Arabidopsis thaliana: one gene and its partners. The protein of the gene in region 4 interacts with the protein of the main gene of each other region in a pairwise test. Each region holds a gene or a part of one and is shown on either strand. Other genes may lie near its edges.

What was found.
Region 1: the proteins of PRA7 (region 4) and AT5G51180 interact in a two-hybrid assay, tested with the Arabidopsis thaliana proteins (one large-scale study listed by BioGRID).
Region 2: the proteins of PRA7 (region 4) and SWAP70 interact in a two-hybrid assay, tested with the Arabidopsis thaliana proteins (one large-scale study listed by BioGRID).
Region 3: the proteins of PRA7 (region 4) and AT4G25680 interact in a two-hybrid assay, tested with the Arabidopsis thaliana proteins (one large-scale study listed by BioGRID).

Annotation. Positions count from the first base shown.
Region 1 is NC_003076.8:20,794,893-20,802,008, reverse strand, and holds AT5G51180 (alpha/beta-Hydrolases superfamily protein), read right to left. Parts: upstream 5,060-7,116; 5' UTR 4,650-5,059; coding exon 4,513-4,649; intron 4,405-4,512; coding exon 4,337-4,404; intron 4,091-4,336; coding exon 4,020-4,090; intron 3,940-4,019; coding exon 3,697-3,939; intron 3,357-3,696; coding exon 3,193-3,356; intron 3,102-3,192; coding exon 3,046-3,101; intron 2,961-3,045; coding exon 2,908-2,960; intron 2,819-2,907; coding exon 2,707-2,818; intron 2,471-2,706; coding exon 2,373-2,470; intron 2,152-2,372; coding exon 2,080-2,151; 3' UTR 1,302-2,079; coding exon of another isoform or gene 636-1,301; 3' UTR 530-635; downstream 1-529. Other genes in the region: AT5G51190 (Integrase-type DNA-binding superfamily protein), read left to right, coding at 636-1,301; AT5G51170 (U6 snRNA phosphodiesterase-like protein), read left to right, coding at 6,679-6,835, 6,932-7,024.
Region 2 is NC_003071.7:13,142,030-13,147,692, forward strand, and holds SWAP70 (Pleckstrin homology (PH) domain-containing protein), read right to left. Parts: upstream 4,032-5,663; 5' UTR 3,690-4,031; coding exon 3,666-3,689; intron 3,554-3,665; coding exon 3,446-3,553; intron 3,239-3,445; coding exon 3,177-3,238; intron 3,085-3,176; coding exon 3,001-3,084; intron 2,907-3,000; coding exon 2,875-2,906; intron 2,767-2,874; coding exon 2,685-2,766; intron 2,423-2,684; coding exon 2,194-2,422; intron 1,953-2,193; coding exon 1,725-1,952; intron 1,643-1,724; coding exon 1,350-1,642; coding exon of another isoform or gene 1,346-1,349; exon of another isoform or gene 1,270-1,345; coding exon 897-1,269; 3' UTR 636-896; downstream 1-635. Other genes in the region: GSTF10 (glutathione S-transferase PHI 10), read left to right, coding at 1-363.
Region 3 is NC_003075.7:13,086,280-13,090,709, reverse strand, and holds AT4G25680 (PPPDE putative thiol peptidase family protein), read right to left. Parts: upstream 2,738-4,430; 5' UTR 2,286-2,737; coding exon 2,151-2,285; intron 1,553-2,150; coding exon 1,291-1,552; intron 1,202-1,290; coding exon 1,134-1,201; intron 1,052-1,133; coding exon 758-1,051; 3' UTR 549-757; downstream 1-548. Other genes in the region: AT4G25690 (stress response NST1-like protein), read left to right, coding at 1-289.
Region 4 is NC_003070.9:20,586,748-20,589,796, reverse strand, and holds PRA7 (PRA1 (Prenylated rab acceptor) family protein), read right to left. Parts: upstream 1,401-3,049; 5' UTR 1,348-1,400; coding exon 778-1,347; 3' UTR 598-777; downstream 1-597. Other genes in the region: AT1G55200 (kinase with adenine nucleotide alpha hydrolases-like domain-containing protein), read left to right, coding at 1-23, 146-295, 390-488; PLDEPSILON (phospholipase D alpha 4), read left to right, coding at 2,168-2,260, 2,349-3,049.

The DNA of each region.
Region 1 (7,116 bases), on a different chromosome or scaffold from region 4:
TCAAACTTTCATTGTTCAAAATAGGCAAGTTGGTCTATATAAACAACAAAGAAACAAAAATGAAGTAACTTAAATTGAATAAAAGTTTCAAACAATTAAACGAAAAAAAACATAAGTTTCAAATATTGCGGCCAAATCATATAATCCACAGTGTGCCCAAACGAGAATCCAAGGCAGCAATACCATCTAACATAGGCACATAGTCAAGTGGACACATACACATTCGTGCATCCACCTTTTCCAAAATATAACTAAACTTTACCCTTAAAAGTAAGAAAAAAGTGTCAATTTTTCTTTCAAATATCTCTCAGAAAAACATTTTTAATTTGTGTCTGGGATATGAAGAAGCCTGGAAATAGACAATAGCTATGATGATGGACCCTCGCAAGAAAAAGACATAGCCACAAATCCTTCATTATCTTAAAATAATAAATGATAGAGTAGTCCACTTGCCACACTCCAAAGCAACAATAGAACTAAACAAGTCAAAACAATTGAAAAGGATCCTTCCTCTCTCCAACCCAAGAAGCTAGCTACGAAACCTCTCAATCCCACTTTTATATATAACCTCCAATCTCAAAAACCAAAATCCATAATCAAAACCACAAAGAAGACTCCAACATAATTCATCATCTATGGCTTCTTCACATCAACAACAGCAAGAACAAGACCAGTCAGCTTTAGATCTCATAACCCAACACCTTCTTACTGATTTCCCTTCCTTAGACACCTTTGCCTCCACCATCCACCACTGCACCACCTCAACTCTAAGCCAACGCAAACCACCTCTTGCCACTATAGCAGTTCCTACTACTGCACCGGTGGTTCAAGAGAATGATCAAAGGCATTACAGAGGCGTCAGGAGAAGACCATGGGGTAAGTATGCGGCTGAGATCAGAGACCCAAACAAGAAAGGTGTTCGTGTCTGGTTAGGCACTTTTGACACAGCCATGGAAGCTGCAAGAGGTTATGACAAGGCAGCTTTTAAACTACGAGGAAGCAAAGCTATTCTTAACTTCCCACTTGAAGCAGGAAAGCATGAGGACTTGGGAGACAACAAGAAGACTATTTCTTTAAAAGCAAAGAGGAAGAGACAGGTGACGGAGGATGAAAGCCAGCTGATCAGCCGTAAAGCTGTTAAGAGGGAAGAAGCTCAGGTTCAGGCTGATGCTTGTCCATTAACGCCATCAAGTTGGAAGGGGTTTTGGGACGGAGCAGACAGTAAAGACATGGGAATATTTTCCGTGCCTCTGTTATCTCCTTGTCCATCTCTTGGACACTCTCAACTCGTAGTTACTTAAGCTTCAGAGGGTCAAACTGGAAAAAATCAACATTGGATTGTTTTCAAAGCTTCTAGATTAGCTGATTGTAAAAAAATGTTTTACTATATTCATTCATTCTTCTTAAATGCAATTCTTTCTACCCTTCCTTAAACGAGCTCAAACTTACAAAAACTTAGGGAGGTCTTAAACCAACAAACCTGTCTTTGCTAGATCACTATCAATGTCCAGCCTAAAGAGATACAGAATGTTCAAGACGCACAAATAGAAGAGAAAACTAATGCTCCACCAGAGCTTCGACTTCCAGATGTACTTGATGCTAAGGTTGTAACATGTTCACGTCATACAACATGGCAAGATTACGTAGACTATTTCAAGTCACCAAATCAAAGGAAACAACCAGAGAGAAATACTGAAGATGAAAGTGTACTGATTGCATTTTAGTCCTTCACCCTGAGAATGTTAAGACGTTGATTATCAAATGACACCACAAACTCAGTCGGTAGGAATTCTTCCAAGTAAAAAAAATATATAGGCACAAAGCTTCCATTGCAAAATATTTGTGAATACATGATACAATTGAATTGAACAATTTGCTTTGCTAATACCATGTATCAAATACATTGGTCATAATTGACGTCTTGCTACCTGTGCAATTACAGACAAAATGAGATGATTTTATAGTGTAAACAACTACGTGACATATAAACGTCCAGCTGGAAAATTGTTGCTCTACTATAAGAAATTTGAGTCCTTAATGTCGTGTCCCAAACTCTTGGGTGATGAAAAGTTTACTGATTTAAGCATGGAAATGATCGATGATATGCTCTATGACATCTGCTCCTTCTATATGCATATCTTCATTTTTAACCTGTAAACGGCATAACACAGACTATTAGACTTTATGGTTTTACTAGAAAGTATGTGGAGATTAATCCTATCAAAATGAATGAACAATATGTTATCGTTCAATGTATATAACAACAGAAAGATAACTATCAAGAGAGGATGCAATTAAAAAGCCTTAGGTGTGAGGATAAACAAATGTTATATCTTAAGACACATGAGGTATGGCAGGTGAGAGTGAGAGACCTGTATAACACTATGGGCAGCAAACCTCTGCCTGCTACTGTGAAAGCTAACATCAACTTTTTCCCATGAGACAGAGGAGAGGCCTTTGATCATTTCTTCTGCACAATTGACGAGGCACTACGTTATTATATACATCATGATGCATATGAATAAGAAAGCAGAAGCACAGCATATGGTAGATCATCAACATATGAATTTGTACTGAACACTTCTTTTACCAGCTAATAAGATCTAAAGCATAGAAAGTAGAAATAGAAATAAGAGAAGTGAGCATTAAGTTCTACAAAATCACAGATAAATGCCTAAACGGTCAGTGCAACAAGTGCACGCTAACCTTCTATGTCGTCTGAATGATTCTCGCCTTCTGGTATGTCCTCCATATCACATGCCTTGCAGAGTTCTTCGTAAACAATATGAGGATACTTCTCATTCAGAGAATCTTCCCACTGGTAAACAAGAAATTATTCATTTATCAGAGAGAACTATTATATCAAAATCCTGAACCAAATCAAGTAATCCAGTCAGAGTCAGATACCTTAGGCAATTCACTGTCACGTCTAATGGATGCCGTCTTCCAGCCAACAACGTCTATTTAGATCTAGTGAAGGAAAAAAAAAATGTAATGTCTGATGCTAACAAGGACATTTCTACAAGTAACACACATAAAGGATACGATCATGGCCCACATTTGAATAAGCCACCCGCCTTTTGAAGGCTCGCAGTGCAGATCTGCAATTGAGGAAAACATTTTCTAGTGAGACATTATCGAGACAAAGTTAGGTAAACTAACTTGTGACAAATGGGACATAGAGTGGCACACATGAAATGACAATCATCGGTATCTTCCACCATGCGTCGAAGCAATGGTGGTTTTCCCTCTTCTTCATCCTTCAAGAAAAGGTGACGGCCCGTTCTTTTAAATATCCAGTGGATAATGAGACCTGCAACTTTCTCAATGGAAGAAAAACCAAAGAGAAACGGAACCTGGAAGAAAACAATAAATTGTTATAATGAGAATAATATCCAGACATAAGTGAAATGGTAATTCAATCATACAACCAGATTTGCATAGTTCAAGAAAGCAGTTGTCAGTCATAACTTATATACATTACCCTGGTGGAAAGTTAGGTAAACAGAGTGCCAGGTTTTTAGTAGCAAATATTAAGATAGCAAACAAGTTATGTTTCCTAATTTTGTTCATTTTTTTAACACTCACCAGAACCATGTTATGCAATGAAAGTTGTAGAAGAAAATTCGTTTCAAACAAGTTTAATAGACGATTTAGCAAAGTCAATGCACTACGCATGTACACAAGTAGAGTTACCTGTTTATTACCCATTGAACCCAAATGTGGTGTAGCTACAGTAATAAAATTCATAGCCTCGAGTCCACATATTGTGCCTTTGGGAGTCTCTTGACTACTGTCCGCTACCGAGTCTTTAACATCTTCCTGATTAGCGGGCTTGTACAATTTCCCAATTGCATATCTTGCTGCAAGCCCTCCCAAAGAATGTGCAACAAAGGAGATTTTACAGATATTTGGTTTTCTCTGAATAATATCAAGAACCTGACATGCATTTTCGTTACATCAAACAGAGTCCAACTCCACAAATGTAAATAAAAGAGGACCTATATGTGACGCCTTACCTCAGCTGCTAGACGTTCACCCATTACATCCACACCATCTAGAGTAAGCGCAGACACATTCTTTTCACTACCTGCTTACAAAAGGTAAGATCATAAGAATCTTGGAGCAATAAACCTAGCATCATAAGAATCTTAGAATTTAAAGATAATTGCCAGTGACACAGACCCAATAGTAGCAAGAAATGGAAAACAGAACCTATTAATAGCTGAATGATTAGATAAAGGGTCCACTAACTAAGTTTAATTCTGAAAAAGGAAACTAATTTCAATTTTGGAACTTTGTAAATCATCATTAATCAAAGCGCAAGACAACTTACAGTGAACAAAGACTTTGTCTGGCATCTTTTTGACGAACTGCTCAGCTCCAAACTTCCAATCATCCGTACTGCAGTTCTCAAGAACAATTCTCATTATTGAGATTTTGGCGAATTGCATAAATATATCAAGTAAAACAGAACAATCAAAATTCTCAACTCCATCAAAGTTTGTTTACCTTCCCAAGATCCCATGGACCATAACGACAAGGTGATCAGCGGAAGAAGAATCAGAATTCTGACAACTCCAAACATCAAGGCTACCATCAACAGATTCCGCCTTGCAAAGACCGTTTTCCTCCTCGTGCTTCTCCATGGGATCCAAATTTCAATCGAATCCGATCAGATCAGATCCAATTACAGCACAAACACTGCTTCCAACCACCCAATTTGAAATCGTGGATCAGAAATGGTGGGAATTAGAGTTGAGGATAGGATTTGGTAAAAAGTAGAAAGTGTGAAGTGGGAATGAAGAGAGAGTACGTACGAAGCAGACTTGCCAGAGAAGGAAACGGAAGGAAGAAAACACGACAAAATGTAACGTGGAAGTAAGTAATCGTGACGTGAAGTCGGCTTCGATAGAGATACCGACTTCCTGAGAACAAACTCTCTCCCTCTACGCCTTTGCTTTTTTCTTAATTTGGGGAAAACAAACAAACAGGATAACTTTGACTTTTTTCCTCTTCTTAACAACAAAATAATATCTTTGACTTTACTGGTTTCAAAACGTAATCAACTGGATCCCGTTATTCCGTTACAACGGAACTCTGCTAAGTACTGAACTGTATTAAACTGTTAATTATACGGAAGTTACAAATTACCATAGTAACTAAACGTTTTGGATTGCCGGTCTTTGGATTTTTCTTTTTCTTCAACTATACCAATTTTTGATTAAGACTAAAAAGTTCATACAATCTGACTACCTTTGAATCACTAACGGTGATAACAAAGTTTGTGACCAATACTTTTGTATAATATATTTTTTACAGGTTTTTTCGAATCAATTTTAAGTCCCCAGCCTTCGTCATTGTAGGCAAATTGGGTGCTCGTTGGAACATCGTTGGTAACTGCCATTAGTTTCTAAGATATCTGACGACTGCTCTTTAACAAGAACACGCCAATGTTTATGACCAAATGCTTTCAAATCAATACACAGGGATCGATTACTTCGGATTCAACTAGGTACGGGCACTAGATAAAATAGATAATTTCATACATTAATTTGATATTCTCAGTGTCAAAACAATGTTTTCAGAATTGGCAGACTAAATTATCTATTTGTTCGAATATGGATGTCCTAATCATATTCGAACAAATAGATAACTATTTTGTGTCGTGTTCAATAGACATTTAATCAGACAACTATTTTGAATGTATTAGTCAATTCTTCCGATTAAACTTTACTCGTAGTTTGTCATTAAACTGAAGCAAATCACAATTGAACAAAGTTAGATTCAGAAGCTAACAGTTGTAACTTCACTTGGAGATGCACATAGTATCTCTCAGATCAAGTGTTGGATTAGATTAATTTTGCTTCATCATTATCTACCATCTAAATTCGTTTTTACTGAATAGAAAACCAAAAAACAAACTCTTATAAACTATTTATGGGGATTAAGGGGATAACTCAGTAGTGGCTAGTGATTTAGGTTCGATTCTGCCAGCAATTCTCTTCAGCTTAATCAGAAGAGGGAGCTGTACATCCTCATCGTAATCTCCAAAATCCCCATCATCATTAAAAAAGCGCAAACACCGATTTCAAAATCGATAAAAACGTATAAATCGATTACCAGAGAATTTCAAATTCGAAAACGCAAACAAATCAGAATCAAATGAAAAGAGAGGAAGGCTCAGATCAGCGGGGTTATCGACACAGAAACGACTCAACCAATAAATTGGAAGAAACGCCTAATTCCGGTCTGTTGAGCTTGAAATTTCCGAGTCATCACTGCCAATCTCCCTCTCTCGATTAGAGAATTATAAAGAAACTTAAAAACTATCAATCATCCAAAAAGACCCATAAAAACGACGATTGAATAACAGAAGAAGAGAACCCTAGATGCTATTGAATACTGATAATGATGAAACCTCCGGCGATTGGTGTCTAATTTATAGGGAACGTAATTAGGGTTTTGCTTTGATCTTCGGTGAAGGCCCATTCTCGGCCCGTTAATGGTTTCCGAATTGTGCTGCTTTGTCTTCGCGGATGGTTCGGTTTATATTCGGTTCGCTTTAATTTGGTTATATTAGAATCATTTTGGTTTAATCTGGTTTATGCTTGAAAATGAAATCTGGTTTAAATAGTTTCTCTGTTTGGTTTTTCTGTTTTAATTAATTTACGGGCAATGGAAGCATTGAGAGCGTCCTACGGCGACTCTTCATCGGATTCCGATACCGATGATCTTTCTCCGGCGAGTCCCGTTACTGCAAATTCTGGAGAGAAAGATTCGATTTCCTTGCCTCCTCCACCGCTTGCGCTTCTCGATTCCATTGTATCCACAGGTGAAGATGCTCATCAATTGTCTCTGTGATTGTTCCTCAATCAAATTCTTAGAGATTTCACTCATCACTTATTTTTTATTTCGTCTGAACTTGAAGGTTCACTGGATTTCTTCTCAACAGAGCCTGGAGTTCGTGTAAGAAACTTTCCTCATGTCGATGGAAATTACGCTTTGCACGTTTACGTACCTGGTATTTGTTCATTTCGTAGCTTAAAATTTCTGAGAGTTTCGAGGTTTTTGAATTCTGAAGTGGTTGTTTAGTATAAGAGGATACGTATGTGT
Region 2 (5,663 bases), on a different chromosome or scaffold from region 4:
GAGCAATGGTTAGACGTTGAGGCTACAAGTTACCATCCACCACTATTGGCTTTAACGCTCAACATTGTCTTTGCACCACTTATGGGTTTCCCTGCTGATGAGAAAGTTATTAAGGAGAGTGAAGAGAAGCTTGCAGAAGTGCTTGATGTCTATGAAGCTCAGCTTTCTAAGAACGAATACTTGGCTGGTGATTTTGTGAGTCTAGCTGATTTGGCTCACCTTCCTTTCACCGAGTATCTTGTTGGTCCTATTGGGAAGGCTCATTTGATCAAAGATAGGAAGCATGTTAGCGCTTGGTGGGATAAGATTAGTAGCCGTGCTGCGTGGAAGGAGGTTTCCGCTAAGTACTCACTACCTGTTTAAACAAGGAGATGTTGACTTGGGGGGTTTGTGTGAGCTTTGTGTTCTTTGAGGGAGTTCGTTTTCGGGTCGATTGTCTTGTTGTTTCAATAAGAAACGGAACTCTGTCTCATTTGTTGTCTCTGGTTTCTTGTATTCTGTAACTTTTCAAGCTTTTCAATAAGAGTTTAAAATCAGAGTGACTCAACCCATGTATATTCCTCTATTCAGTGTAGGTCTTTGATAAAACTGGTACTAACATCACAACCATCGTGGTTTGTTGAAGGATTGCATTTATATGAAAACTGGTTTATATGAATCCAAAAACATAAGTCAAAGTTTAACACATATCTCTCTGTTCTTCATGTTGTAATAAAAGGGAAAAAGAATCATTCCCTAGTCAGACAAATTCAAGAGCGGCAGATACATAACAACTCTTGAATGTACAAGAAAACTAAAAAGACAAATTCTTTTTGTTGTTAGAAGAATCAACTCTCCAAACATTACCAGACCATCAAAGAGTATATTAAAATGTACGAAGATCTACCAATCTTTATTCAAGGCTGGTGATGAAATGATTCGGAAGGCGGATCATTGCGTGGAACGTTAGGTTCAGGAGACACTACCGGGATATCCAAGCTGTTTCTTCTGTCCCGTTCAGTCTCTGCAGATATTTCTCTTACATCAGAAACTCTTGCCTCTGTTGCCTGAATATCATTCCATTCGTTTTCTCCCACCGGAGGCTGAGCGTTTACTACCTGCTCTTCACTCATATGGACTACATTCTCTCCCGGTATAGAGGCTGTTCTTGAAATGCTCAGACATGCTTTATCCACATTCTTTTCTGTTTCCTTTGTCATTGGAAGAGAAGCTTCGCCGTTAGTAGACTCAGTCTTCTCCTCACACACTTGCTTTGTCTCTAGTTGCTGCCTGTTTATTCAAAAATAAAGAGATTTATGACCCTTCAAAAGTCATGAGTTTCCCTGGGAGATAGATTCAGATAGGCTCACCTTTGAAGCTGAGTTTGTAACATATTCACATATGCTAAAAGCTCTTGCTTCTCTGTCCAAGCAGTTGCTTCTCTCTGAGAAGCCTCTTTTGATTTTGCTTCACCGCTTGCTTCTGCAACCCTCACTTTCTCTTCGGCCCTCACAACAGCTCCTTCAAGTATGACAACACGCTCTCTGGCTTTCCCAAGCTCAGACCGCCACATATGTGCCTCTTGGAGAGCAGCGTCTCTTTCCTTAACCAATTGATCTTTTTCCTTACTCAAAGTAAAGGTCTTCTCTTCCAATTCCTTGAGCTACATAGGAGATAAAGATCAAATAAACAACAAAACATACACAAGGATGCAAAAGTATCTATATATGACATGGCCTCATTACCTTTAATTTTGTGGCTTCTTGCTGTCTCTGTGAGTCTGTAGTCAAGCGCTCAAATTCCACACAAACGATTTTCCTTTGTTCATCCATTGTATGAGCAGCAGATGCTGCAGCTACAGCTGCTTCAGCAGTCTCAGATAGCTTATCTGCTATTTCCTTTATCATTGAGTCACGAGAACGAAGTTCCCTGGCTAAATTATGTAATTCTTCATCTTTGACACGCAGAGTTTCCTGTAAGATGTAAGTGGCTCAATAAGGTTAACCTGGACATTAGAATGAAGATGGACGAATAAGATTTATGCTAATTCTGTTAATTTTCATCCTTGACAAGCAGAGTTTCCTGTAAGGTGTCCCTATATGCTTTCATCGTTCATCTTGACATTTCAGAATCTCAACAGCCAAAGGATGTCAATATGCTATTCACAAAAGTTTCCCAAATTCGAAGAGAAAGAGAGATGCAAAGATACCACACCTTCATTATTGTCAAATCATCTAGTGGTCCATCAATCGGTTTATTTGGCGTTATTTTCAATGCATTCCTCAAAGAGATCTGCATTGCTGCTTGAATTTCTCTGGAACATTCCAATGCTGTTGAATTGGCAGCGGCAACAACGGTTGCAACGGTACCAAGTGTTGCAGAACCACTTCCACTTAGAGATTCGACAGCCTCCTTATGGGCCTTTAGAACTAGCTGTGTCGCACTGGAACGAACAAAGAAAGATAAGGTTTATCAGATTGGCTTTTGAGGGGCATTTAGAAGGTATTACATTTTCAGTAAGAAACGTAAAAAGAGAGAGAAAGATGATTCTTTCAACATGGTCGACGACGAAACCATTAAATCAACACAACTATGAATTATTTAAGATAGATGAAATAAGCGGGGTGGCTTCTCTAGAGAATGGTAAGTAAATAAAAAGGACAGAAAGAGAAGCAAACAAAAAGATGAAGATCCAGATGACTTACTGTAAGGTTGTGACCCAAGCTTTAGCTGCACCAGGAGTCTCTGCACACAAAAAGTAATCTTTCTTCTGTGGGGTACCAATATCTTATATCAAGTTGAAGAAAATTCAACTCTAGATTCCAATCAACTATCTCCTTATAGACAAAAGAAACAATTATAAATATGCCAACATTTTACTAAAACCAAGGATACAAATACAGCAACCATTATATTTTGGAAGCCCCCTGAAACACAAAAGAAACAAAGTCAATGATACAAACAGACACCAAATAATGATGATTATACAGAGCAACAAAAAAAAGAATGTAGCATCCATACTGGAAGTTGACAGGAGAGATGGAGATTGTGCTATTTTCGTCAAACAAAATTGTTCCCTTGATAGTTGGCTCATTTCGCCTCGTCCTGAGTCATGGAAATACATCAGAAATGAATAAAACCATGATGAAGTGGTCTACACACAAATGCAGCTACATAAGCAAATTGATATAACTCACTTATACTCCATTTTCCCTGTTGTTGGATCAAGTATCACCCATCGTTCGTTCCATTTTCTCAGCTATTCATACATAAACACAAACAAAAGATATTATCATTGTGAACCTTTGAATAAGCCAAGACATTTCAGGCCAAAAGACTTGTTTAAGCTATAGAAATCTAATAGTGAGCTATCAGAGAGTCTTCTTAGTTTGAGCTAACTAAGAAATCCCAATCAATAAAGCAAAAACTGGTTTTGATCATTTTCACTTAAAAAAATTGGACTTACAGTTTCAGATCGCTTGAAAAGAGGTCCTTGTAGCAAGTTCCGACCAGAGCCAGATGCCAATTGTCGCTTGATCTTATCCAAGCTGTTCTCAGTAGCATCAACAATTCTCTGCGCATTTTCAGAAATTGACAAAATGGGTCAATTTAAGAGTGTGAATGAGAAAAGCAGCCAAAAGAAAGAGACTAAATTGTAGCACACAGAGATCAAGAGAGAAAAAGACCGGAGAAGCGCCGTTGGAAGCCATGTTAATTGGGATCGACGAGATCGGAAAGCTCTTGATCGATTAGAAGTGAATTGTTGCTGATCGATGGATCGAGAGAAGAAGGGTTTTAAGAGGTTTTCTTTGGTATAGCTATGAGTATAAGCTGAAGAAGACGAGGTTACAGAAGAAGAAGAAGAAGAAGAAGGAATTGGAGAAAAATGCTGTTAGGTTTGGTTTCGCGGAATTGCAGTTGAATCTGTCTTCACTCTTTCAACGCGATCAAATCAACTTAACCGGTCGGTACGATACTGGATCAGCTTACTCGTCAAATGAACCGGTTCTTGAGTTTCTCACTTTTTGTTTGTTCACTTCATTTTTATGGTTTTTGATCTGACGGTGGAGGTGTCATCACATGATTCTTTTGTTTTGTTTTTGGTTATGAGGATGATTAAGTAGATCTGTAGAAGGTAGGCTTTGTTAAGGGAGAAGCTTTACATAAACGATGGGCTAAGGAACATCAATGGGCCGGGCTGTAACAAGCCAATCGTTTAGGAGAGAGCAGAGTTCTTACTTTGCCCAACTAATCTCAAATGTGTGCAAGATTGTGAAATATTGCGTACTAGCTTCGACGCTTGGTAGTGGTGACTTAGACACTTAGTTCACAGGGACTTCAAACATAGATGCGTTAGACACAGCTTTACACTTTCTCTTAATCTTCAAGATTTTCAATGTACTACAACTTCCCTAATGGTCGTAATGAAACATGATATAAGTACATAACATAATATTCAATAATATATGAGATTTGAGTAATCATATGTGATATGATGATACTCTTTCCTTAATAGCTAGGCGCTGATAACTACATAGGAGGAGGAAACACAACAACTTGTTGGGGATACAGAAATGGATTGAAAAGCATCAAAGCAAAAGAGTAGTAGACATGTAAGCCAAGACAATATTCAATTTTGGGGTTAACTGAAGTGGGAAAGCTGCAAAACGTGAAGTGGTCCTCTTGCTTTATTCTACGTATGTAGATTCCTTTTGTATGAATTTTCTCATTTGTTTTTCACTTCTATGGCATTCTCATCAACCCAACCATGCATATATTTCCTAAATGAAACGTCTAAGAAGCTATCAAAATCCATATTTTTTTGGCTCCTTTATATTCAATCTCCAAAATAAGAAGAAACTTCTACTATATAATATACTACAGAATTTGGACACCTTTTGACATTTATAAGTTTGACCATTTATCTAAAATTTGGTATGTTCTTATGATTAGTGTTTGAAAATAAGAAAATATATATCCATGTGATGTGGTCATTCATGTATACCTTCCATAGTGAAATCATGATGTTTGTTGACAGTAACATATTGTTAGTGGTCTATGAGCTAGTGCAACCTGCCATGACTCACTTTCCCTTGCAAAATCTGACATTCTTCCACAAAACATAAAAGTCCATTAAAATTCTACTTTTGGATGAATCTGACCTTAAGGAATTTTCAGTTTCAGTTTCTTCTTTTTTTTTTCATAGAAAACCAAAAGTGCTGTAGAGTCGCAGAGATAGTGACATCCACTTGAATATTCTTCTGTTTTTTCTTACATTCATTAATTAAATTCAATACTCAAATTATATATATATAGTCCTTTTTAGATATAAAACATCATTATTAACATCTAATTAAGATTGACAAAAATGAAGTTCGTTATATCAAATCGATTGCCCATTCCTCCACTTGCTTTTCTTCATTTAAATTCAGAGATACTAGTAAAATAAACCATCAACCTCCATGCAAAACCATATTATATAACAAAGTTGCGAGCTTAACTTTTTTTTTTTTTCTTTTTATCACATTTCTTTACACTCTAAAAGCAAATTCTAAAACTTTTCTTTTCTTTTCTCTTCTTCTATCTATAGCTAAGAAACTAGTGGATCAAGTATTCAAGTTCCATATATACCGTCATCCAATTCTTTACAAAGAGCTAGATACACACAAACTTTAACAGTTATA
Region 3 (4,430 bases), on a different chromosome or scaffold from region 4:
CGAAGAAACGGGTTTCGGAATGGATCTGTTTAGAGATGAAAGAACCAACTATGTTCCTCGCCAAAGTTGTGCTAGCTATGCGGTTCAAGGGATTGGGTTTGTGTCAAATGGTTATGGACTAGGAGATAGTAACTGGTCAGTGTCATATAAGCCATTCATGAAGGATGTCTGGGATAACAACATGGTAATATCTGCAGATTTGATTGCTGCTCAGGCTGTTTCGTCACTACAGATATCTGAGGACGCTGATAGGAACGCTTATGTCTTCGAGACGATGTTCGGGGGATGACAAAAGCCATCGTGCCAAACTTGGCTGCAGAAACAAGTGTTTGCTATGAGTAGAGTTGCAGTTTTTTTCTTTATTCTAGAACCCCTTTTGGTGTGAAAATTCCTCCTCGTTGTTTATCTTTTGATGTTAGACTAGCTGAAAAGATGTTTTCTGAATTCTCTTTGTAACATTCACAAATACGTTCTAAGTTTTATACAGATTACAGAGTACCTCTTGAATCACGTGATTATCCAAATTCAGTCACAATTTCTAGTGTATTGAGACTAATAAACCTTTTGATGTTAAGATTTGACAGTAACAAGCGAGAATGATCTTAACAAAAGCACACGTGAGCTAAAAACTCAAGAAAAAATGACAGGTTCCAACGTTGATACAGAGTAATGGGTACAGACGAGGAGAATAGTGCGTGACTCTTAGACCGGTGGATATACAGCTAACCGAATGCATTGTGGTGGATCGGTACGGTTGCTACTGAAACAGTAGAACATCAGAGTCACGGCTTTGTTTCTTCTGATTGGTGACTGCATGATTTGCATCTTCATCTTTGTTCCCTATCTCTGTACTAGTGGAGGGTTTGGCTGTGTTAAGTAAGCCTTTGAGCCAACTACCTTGCAATCTCAAGTTCCCGCTGTCTGAATTGTTGAGAGTTCCCGGTCGTTGTGGAGAGCCATTGGAGCCATTGGTTACGTTCGAAGTAACATTCGAGAGGAAGCGATAAGCCACTTTACTAGCTGACACAAGTTCAGTTTTGGCTTGCTTCATCTGCAAAATCCCAATTTACAAGTTTTGAACACCCATAATGTTGCATTTACGTTGTAGAGAAGCTAAACAAAAGGGAACCCACCCGCATTGCTGTGTTTCCTGCCACTTCCAAGGCTGTGTCCCCAGCATTAGCAAAGCGATTAACCCAACCTGTTAAGAGACAGAACCCAAGCCGTCACATAAGCCTTGAAGACAAAACACACACACACACACACCAGATTCCCAAAAAATGGCTTTACCTGGGATCTTTGGCACACCAAGCCGGTCACAGAGTACATCGCAGAAGTGATTGCAATTTTTTGACAACAAATCATAAGTGTGTCCAGGCCATTCCCTGCTGAGTTCACGCAACATCTGATTCACCATGAAGATTGTGCAATCTGTTTTGCCAAGGACGATTTTCTCACGGTATGTGTACATTGGATTCTTTCCACTCGGGCAGCTGAATACACCAGTTCCTAGTTCACAATACCCGTAAGACCATTCATCGTTTCCATATACCTGCACAAAGGTCATAAAATATTCTATTCAATCACTCTTCCCTGCGAATCAATAGTCATCTACAAGACACAAAAAAATAACAAAACCATGAACAAGAATAATCAAATGATATTGCATAGATATACAGACCTAAGAACATAGAATGATTAGCACTAACTTGAAAACCTAAATTCTGGTAGTTTTGTTGGAATACACCAAATTGTCACGACTCAAATGGGAAAGTGGTATATGCAATTATATTTGCCCAGGTCAAAGATCACAGAAGTAAACGTAAGCCATCATTGGATTTAACAAGTCTCCAGAGAGCACTTGGTCAATATATCGCAATCATTATCATATGGAAAGTTACCAAAAGTACTAGGAAACACAAGATCCTGAGCAAAAGAGAGACTTCAGCTCCAGACCTTTAGGACCATAAACCATTAAACTAAAGCCTCACATATCAAAAGAAAAGTATCATGCCGTCAACTTCTTAATTTCCACATACATACACAGAAACAAAAACCAAATCTACATAAAGTAGACCAAAACCAAGCTTAGACATCATCGATAATTGTACATAAATGTAGATTCATAGAATATAGACGAAGAGTAGTACCTGAATAGCGCTGTGGAATATACCGCCAAGACCGATCCCGTCTTTGAAGAACCTATTGATCTGAACAATGGTGTTGTTAGTCTTCTCCGATCCACTGTTCGTCACATCGTATATATGCAGAACAACCTCCGTCATTGATTCTATATTTACCAAGCAACACGAACCCTAATTTCCTACCAAAAAGAGCTCGCAGATTCTCTCTATATAGAGCTTTTGGTGAAGAAGGAAACCTAAAGACTCGTACCAAATCCACTTCTCCGTTTAACGAATCCAACAACTACTAGATCTCCCCGAAAAGAAATCTAAAGGCACAAGATTAGACTTATCTTTCTTCTTCCGATTTCTCAATTTCAGACGTAGGAGATGAAGAAGAAACTGGTGCGGCGGTGGTGGTGGTGGTGGGGATCCACTGAAATGACAATTTTACCCTCGCTTTTCCTGCGGAATTGCTACTTTACGTGTCCCTTGTTAATTCCTTTTGTTTACAACTTAAGCACGCGTTTAGATTATGAATTTATGGTAACAAATTATATTAGTATGAACGTTGTTCGCAGTTGATTAAACGGGTCAACTACTGAACCTTTTTTCTTTCATTTAACTAACATTTCTTTAGCTAGACAAGTGTCCTTACCAAAACAAATCAAAAATACTAGTAAAGCATCTCTATAACAAAATAATGACTTAAGTAATCTGACACAACCAAGGAAGATGATTCATGACTATTAAAAAATGGGGTAAACAAAAAAAAAAGAGGGTAATCAATTGACCGATTCTTCCGATAATTTTCGAAAATGCAAAACGGACACAAGTCTGGTTTTCGTTAGCCATCTGATTCGTCTCGAATTAGTCCATCCATTCATACACCAAATTTATAATTTTGCTTCTATGTAAAAAAGTCAATCATAAAAACTTAATGACTTCTTTTTTATGGTACATACATATTGGGCCAATTGGGCCTAGGCCCAGTACAACAGATGGGATTCAGGAAATAAATTAGGACCAAAGAAATTCGACCAAGTTTTTTGTTATATCAAAAGTGTATTCAAAGTCTCATTTTGGTGGATGAATCTTGAATGGGATGCTCAAAGCACAAACAAAGCTTAGTCAAGTTGATAAACTTTGAATGCAAATTAAGCTCTTATATTTTATTGTAATGTAAGGTAACATGACACTTGTACATATTCGTGAAAGGCTCAAATTTTCTTTCTTACATGATAAATATTGCAAAGTTGGAACCGGAAGTCGACAAAAAAAAAAGTTGGAACCGGAAACATCTCAAAACAGTTATCGGGGGATCTAACGGCTGCTAATAGCCCTCATTAGGACCCACAAAATACTGGGAGTAGACGAAGTCGCACCGGCCAAGTCTCCAAAGTCCCAATTGAAAACTTACACTTGAAAAAAAAGTCAGACATCATTCGACACGTGTCCCCATTTCATTAGAAGTCGCGCTGCGTTTCTTTCTCTGTACTAGTTATAATTCCTTCTATTATCCTCTCTCTCTCGTCTTCTTCGTCTGCTCTTCTTTTTTATCTCTCGAAATTCCTCTCTCTTTCTCTCTGCATCAAAACAGCAACTTTACTTCTGCGTTTTTGTTTATCTCTCTGTATTATCCGATTAATTTAAAGGAGTTCTTTGAAGGCAGCTGCTTCTATGCCATATTGCCGAGGTTTGGATCTAAATTTCATCATCATCTTTGTTTCTCCGTTTATCTTCAATTTCCCTTTATCTTTTCAATATAATTGACTTATTTCGTTAAAAGTCTTTTTGATTAGCTTCCTCGGATCTTATGCTTATTCATGGATCTTAGACCTACATAATGGATTAAATCCGATTGTTTCTCTTATTGTTCTTGTTGAATTGAGGTTAATTTTGATCTGAAAATTAGTTTCTGCGGCAGATCTGGTGTCTGTATTTGTGTAATTTGTATCCATTAGTCTTAATTGAGTTATTAGCTGAGGATTAAGAGAGATCCTGAAATTTGCCGTGGAATTAACTCTTTCTGTGGATGGATGGATACCCTTTGTATTCTTCAACTTTGCTCCTACTCTGGGAAATTAGGGTTTGAGTAATCATTAGGTTTTACTCTTTGGCTGTTGTTGACTATCTTCAATCTAATTGGTGGCTGATTTTGTTTGACTTCTTTAGGACTTTTGGTGTCTTTCGAGGTCATTAGAACAATTGTGTCTGCTTGGTTGGTGGTCTATCTACAACTGTTAGCTTTTACAAGTTTGAATGCTATTGTTTTGGCTTTCAGATTTTGATGTTATGGATTTCTGT
Region 4 (3,049 bases):
GACAACAATGTTTAACTGAATGGGTAAATCCATAAGTTTCTTCTTTTTAAGGTTTCTTAGCTCATTTTCAGTCTCTTCTTGTAAATGAAATCTAAAAGTTTCTTTCTTGAAGCTCATTTTGTTATTTTATTTTCTTTGTGAGCAGGCAAGATCTTTATTAGAAGAGTATGCGGTTGAGGAATTAGTTGATCCGAGGCTCGAAAAGCGATATTCAGAAACACAAGTCATTTGCATGATTCATACAGCTTCATTGTGTATACGTAGAGATCCACATTTGCGTCCTCGCATGTCTCAGGTAAAGAAAAGATTCACCATTCTTGAAACATGTTCATTTCTTTAAGTCAATAAAACTCTCTCAAGTGTGTCTGCTCTTTTGCTTGTTGTTGAAGGTGTTGCGTTTATTGGAAGGAGATATGTTAATGAATGAAATCTCAGGGAGGTTTAATGGAAGACTATCCACTGAGAAAGGTCTCAGAGATCATAACTAAAAGCTCAACTAGCCAATCTGATCACTTTCTTTTGGTATAGTGCGTAGGATCAATAGAAGAATTTTGTAAAATCAAAGTCCTCTTAATTGACAATTATGGTTTTTTAGTAGCTTTATCCAAAGTGATTAGTGTTTGTAGTGCTAATCATGTAATAACGTAATTAACCAACAAAACATACTCAAAAATTGTACTGTTGTCAACAAATTGAACAAAGTAGAAGAACATGTCAAGTTTTCTCAAATCGCACCAAACTCAGTAACATACAAAAAAAAAAAACAAATTTTTGGATTTACGACGAAGGGTATGACATCAGCCCTGAAGCTTCAGTAACCGCCGCAGCTTCTTCATCAAGAAACAAATTATCACTTCTTCTAACCGCCGCATGAATCAGAACCAACACGGCGGCGGTTAACAAAGATCCCAGAATATTCGAAGTAGCGTGAGTCAACAAAAGCATCACAACCGTCAAAACCGATAAACCAATAAGAACCGTCCGATCATCAATCTGATAACCAAAAACAACAAGAGGCTCGTCACGGAGGAAATAGAGAAAGATCCAGAAGACGACCAAGATTGATAACACGATCAACGAGGTTGGGTGATATAGAAGGCTTAGGAAGAGGATGAAGAGAACTCCGATGGCGTAATTAGCTCTGAAATAGCCGAGATTCGTTTTGATCCTCGAGATCGCGTCGAAGAAACCGTGAGGGAGAGTCATTGATTCGAAATCGAACATTGATTTCCATGGGCGGCGCGTAGCTAGACCGGATTTTATACGGTGTTTGGCGCGTGAGATGTATTCGAGATCTATCGCCGGTGATGGATGAGACGACGTCGGAATCGCCCCGTAGTTCGTCATTTTTGGAGAAGAGAGACACGAAGCTTTTTTTTTTGTTGGTTGTAATAATTTATAAATTGCTCAGTGTCCCTATGGATTAGGTGATGGTGCTAATGTAAATGTCACATATGGATAAAAGTTGTTACATGCCCAATAAATACATAAATGCTTTATATTGTAATAATTTTTTATTTGTTTTGCAACTGTACATTTATGGTAACAATATTGGTATTATATGTGTTTAACAGTCAGCATCATAGAGACATATTCTTAGGAAAATGTACAGCATATTATATTCTCTGTCATTTTCAAAACATAAATCTGATTAATTACTTGTAAACAGCATAATTTTATTCATTAGAAGGATTAATTTTTTTTTCCGGCAGAATAAAAATTTCATATTATTAGTTCACCAAAGAAACTGCGACCGAGTGGTTTCTTTGGCAGCGCTTTGTTGCTGCACGTGGCTTATCCCCACAAATATTTACAAACTCCACCAGATATTTTCATGCTTTCACATTTTAGTCCCAACCTTTTGTTTGAATACCATCTAACACTTTGCTTTTTAAAATTCCTATTTTTAAAAACCGAAGTCGAATGCTTGATTTGTATTCAAAGACACTTCACCTTCGATTTTGTCATCTATATGGTTGAATGTTTTCTTTAAGATTGTCCATGGAGAATCCTACAAGTTTCACCAAAAACATTAACAAATACATATACATATATGGATGGACATAACCTTGTGCATTCTGTAATTGACCAGCTTCAAACACATACTTGACAATTCACAGAAAATTATCTCTCATTCTCTTAAAGATACATTTTGAATAAAGAGAAGATGGAGCTTGAAGAACAGAAGAAGTACTTTCATGGAACACTAGAGATTACAATCTTCGATGCAACACCTTTTTCTCCTCCATTTCCTTTCAATGTAAGTCTATATCATATACTGAATTAGTGACTCTGATGATGTTATCATTGTGTTCATTTTCATGAGCTTTTGTTATCTTTGTTCACAGTGTATATGTACAAAGCCAAAAGCAGCTTACGTGACCATCAAGATAAACAAGAAGAAAGTTGCTAAAACAAGCTCAGAATACGACCGTATTTGGAATCAGACTTTTCAGATCCTCTGCGCTCACCCGGTTACTGACACGACTATCACCATCACGCTCAAGACTCGATGTTCTGTTCTCGGAAGATTCCGAATCTCTGCAGAACAGATCCTGACATCTAATTCAGCAGTTATCAACGGGTTCTTCCCTCTGATTGCAGACAATGGGTCAACGAAACGTAACTTGAAGCTTAAGTGTTTGATGTGGTTCAGACCGGCTTATCTTGAACCGGGATGGTGCAGAGCGCTTGAAGAAGCGTCTTTTCAAGGTATTAGGAACGCAAGCTTCCCTCAAAGATCGAACTGCAGAGTCGTACTGTATCAAGATGCACACCACAAGGCCACATTTGATCCAAGGGTTGATGATGTTCCTTTTAATGCAAGGAATCTATGGGAAGATGTTTACAAAGCGATCGAAAGTGCTAGGCACTTGGTTTACATTGCAGGATGGGCACTAAACCCTAATCTTGTTCTTGTACGCGACAACGAAACTGAGATTCCACATGCGGTTGGAGTAACGGTTGGCGAGCTTCTGAAACGGAAATCAGAGGAAGGTGTAGCGGTGAGAGTAATGTTGTGGAACGACGAGACGTCTTTACCAATGAT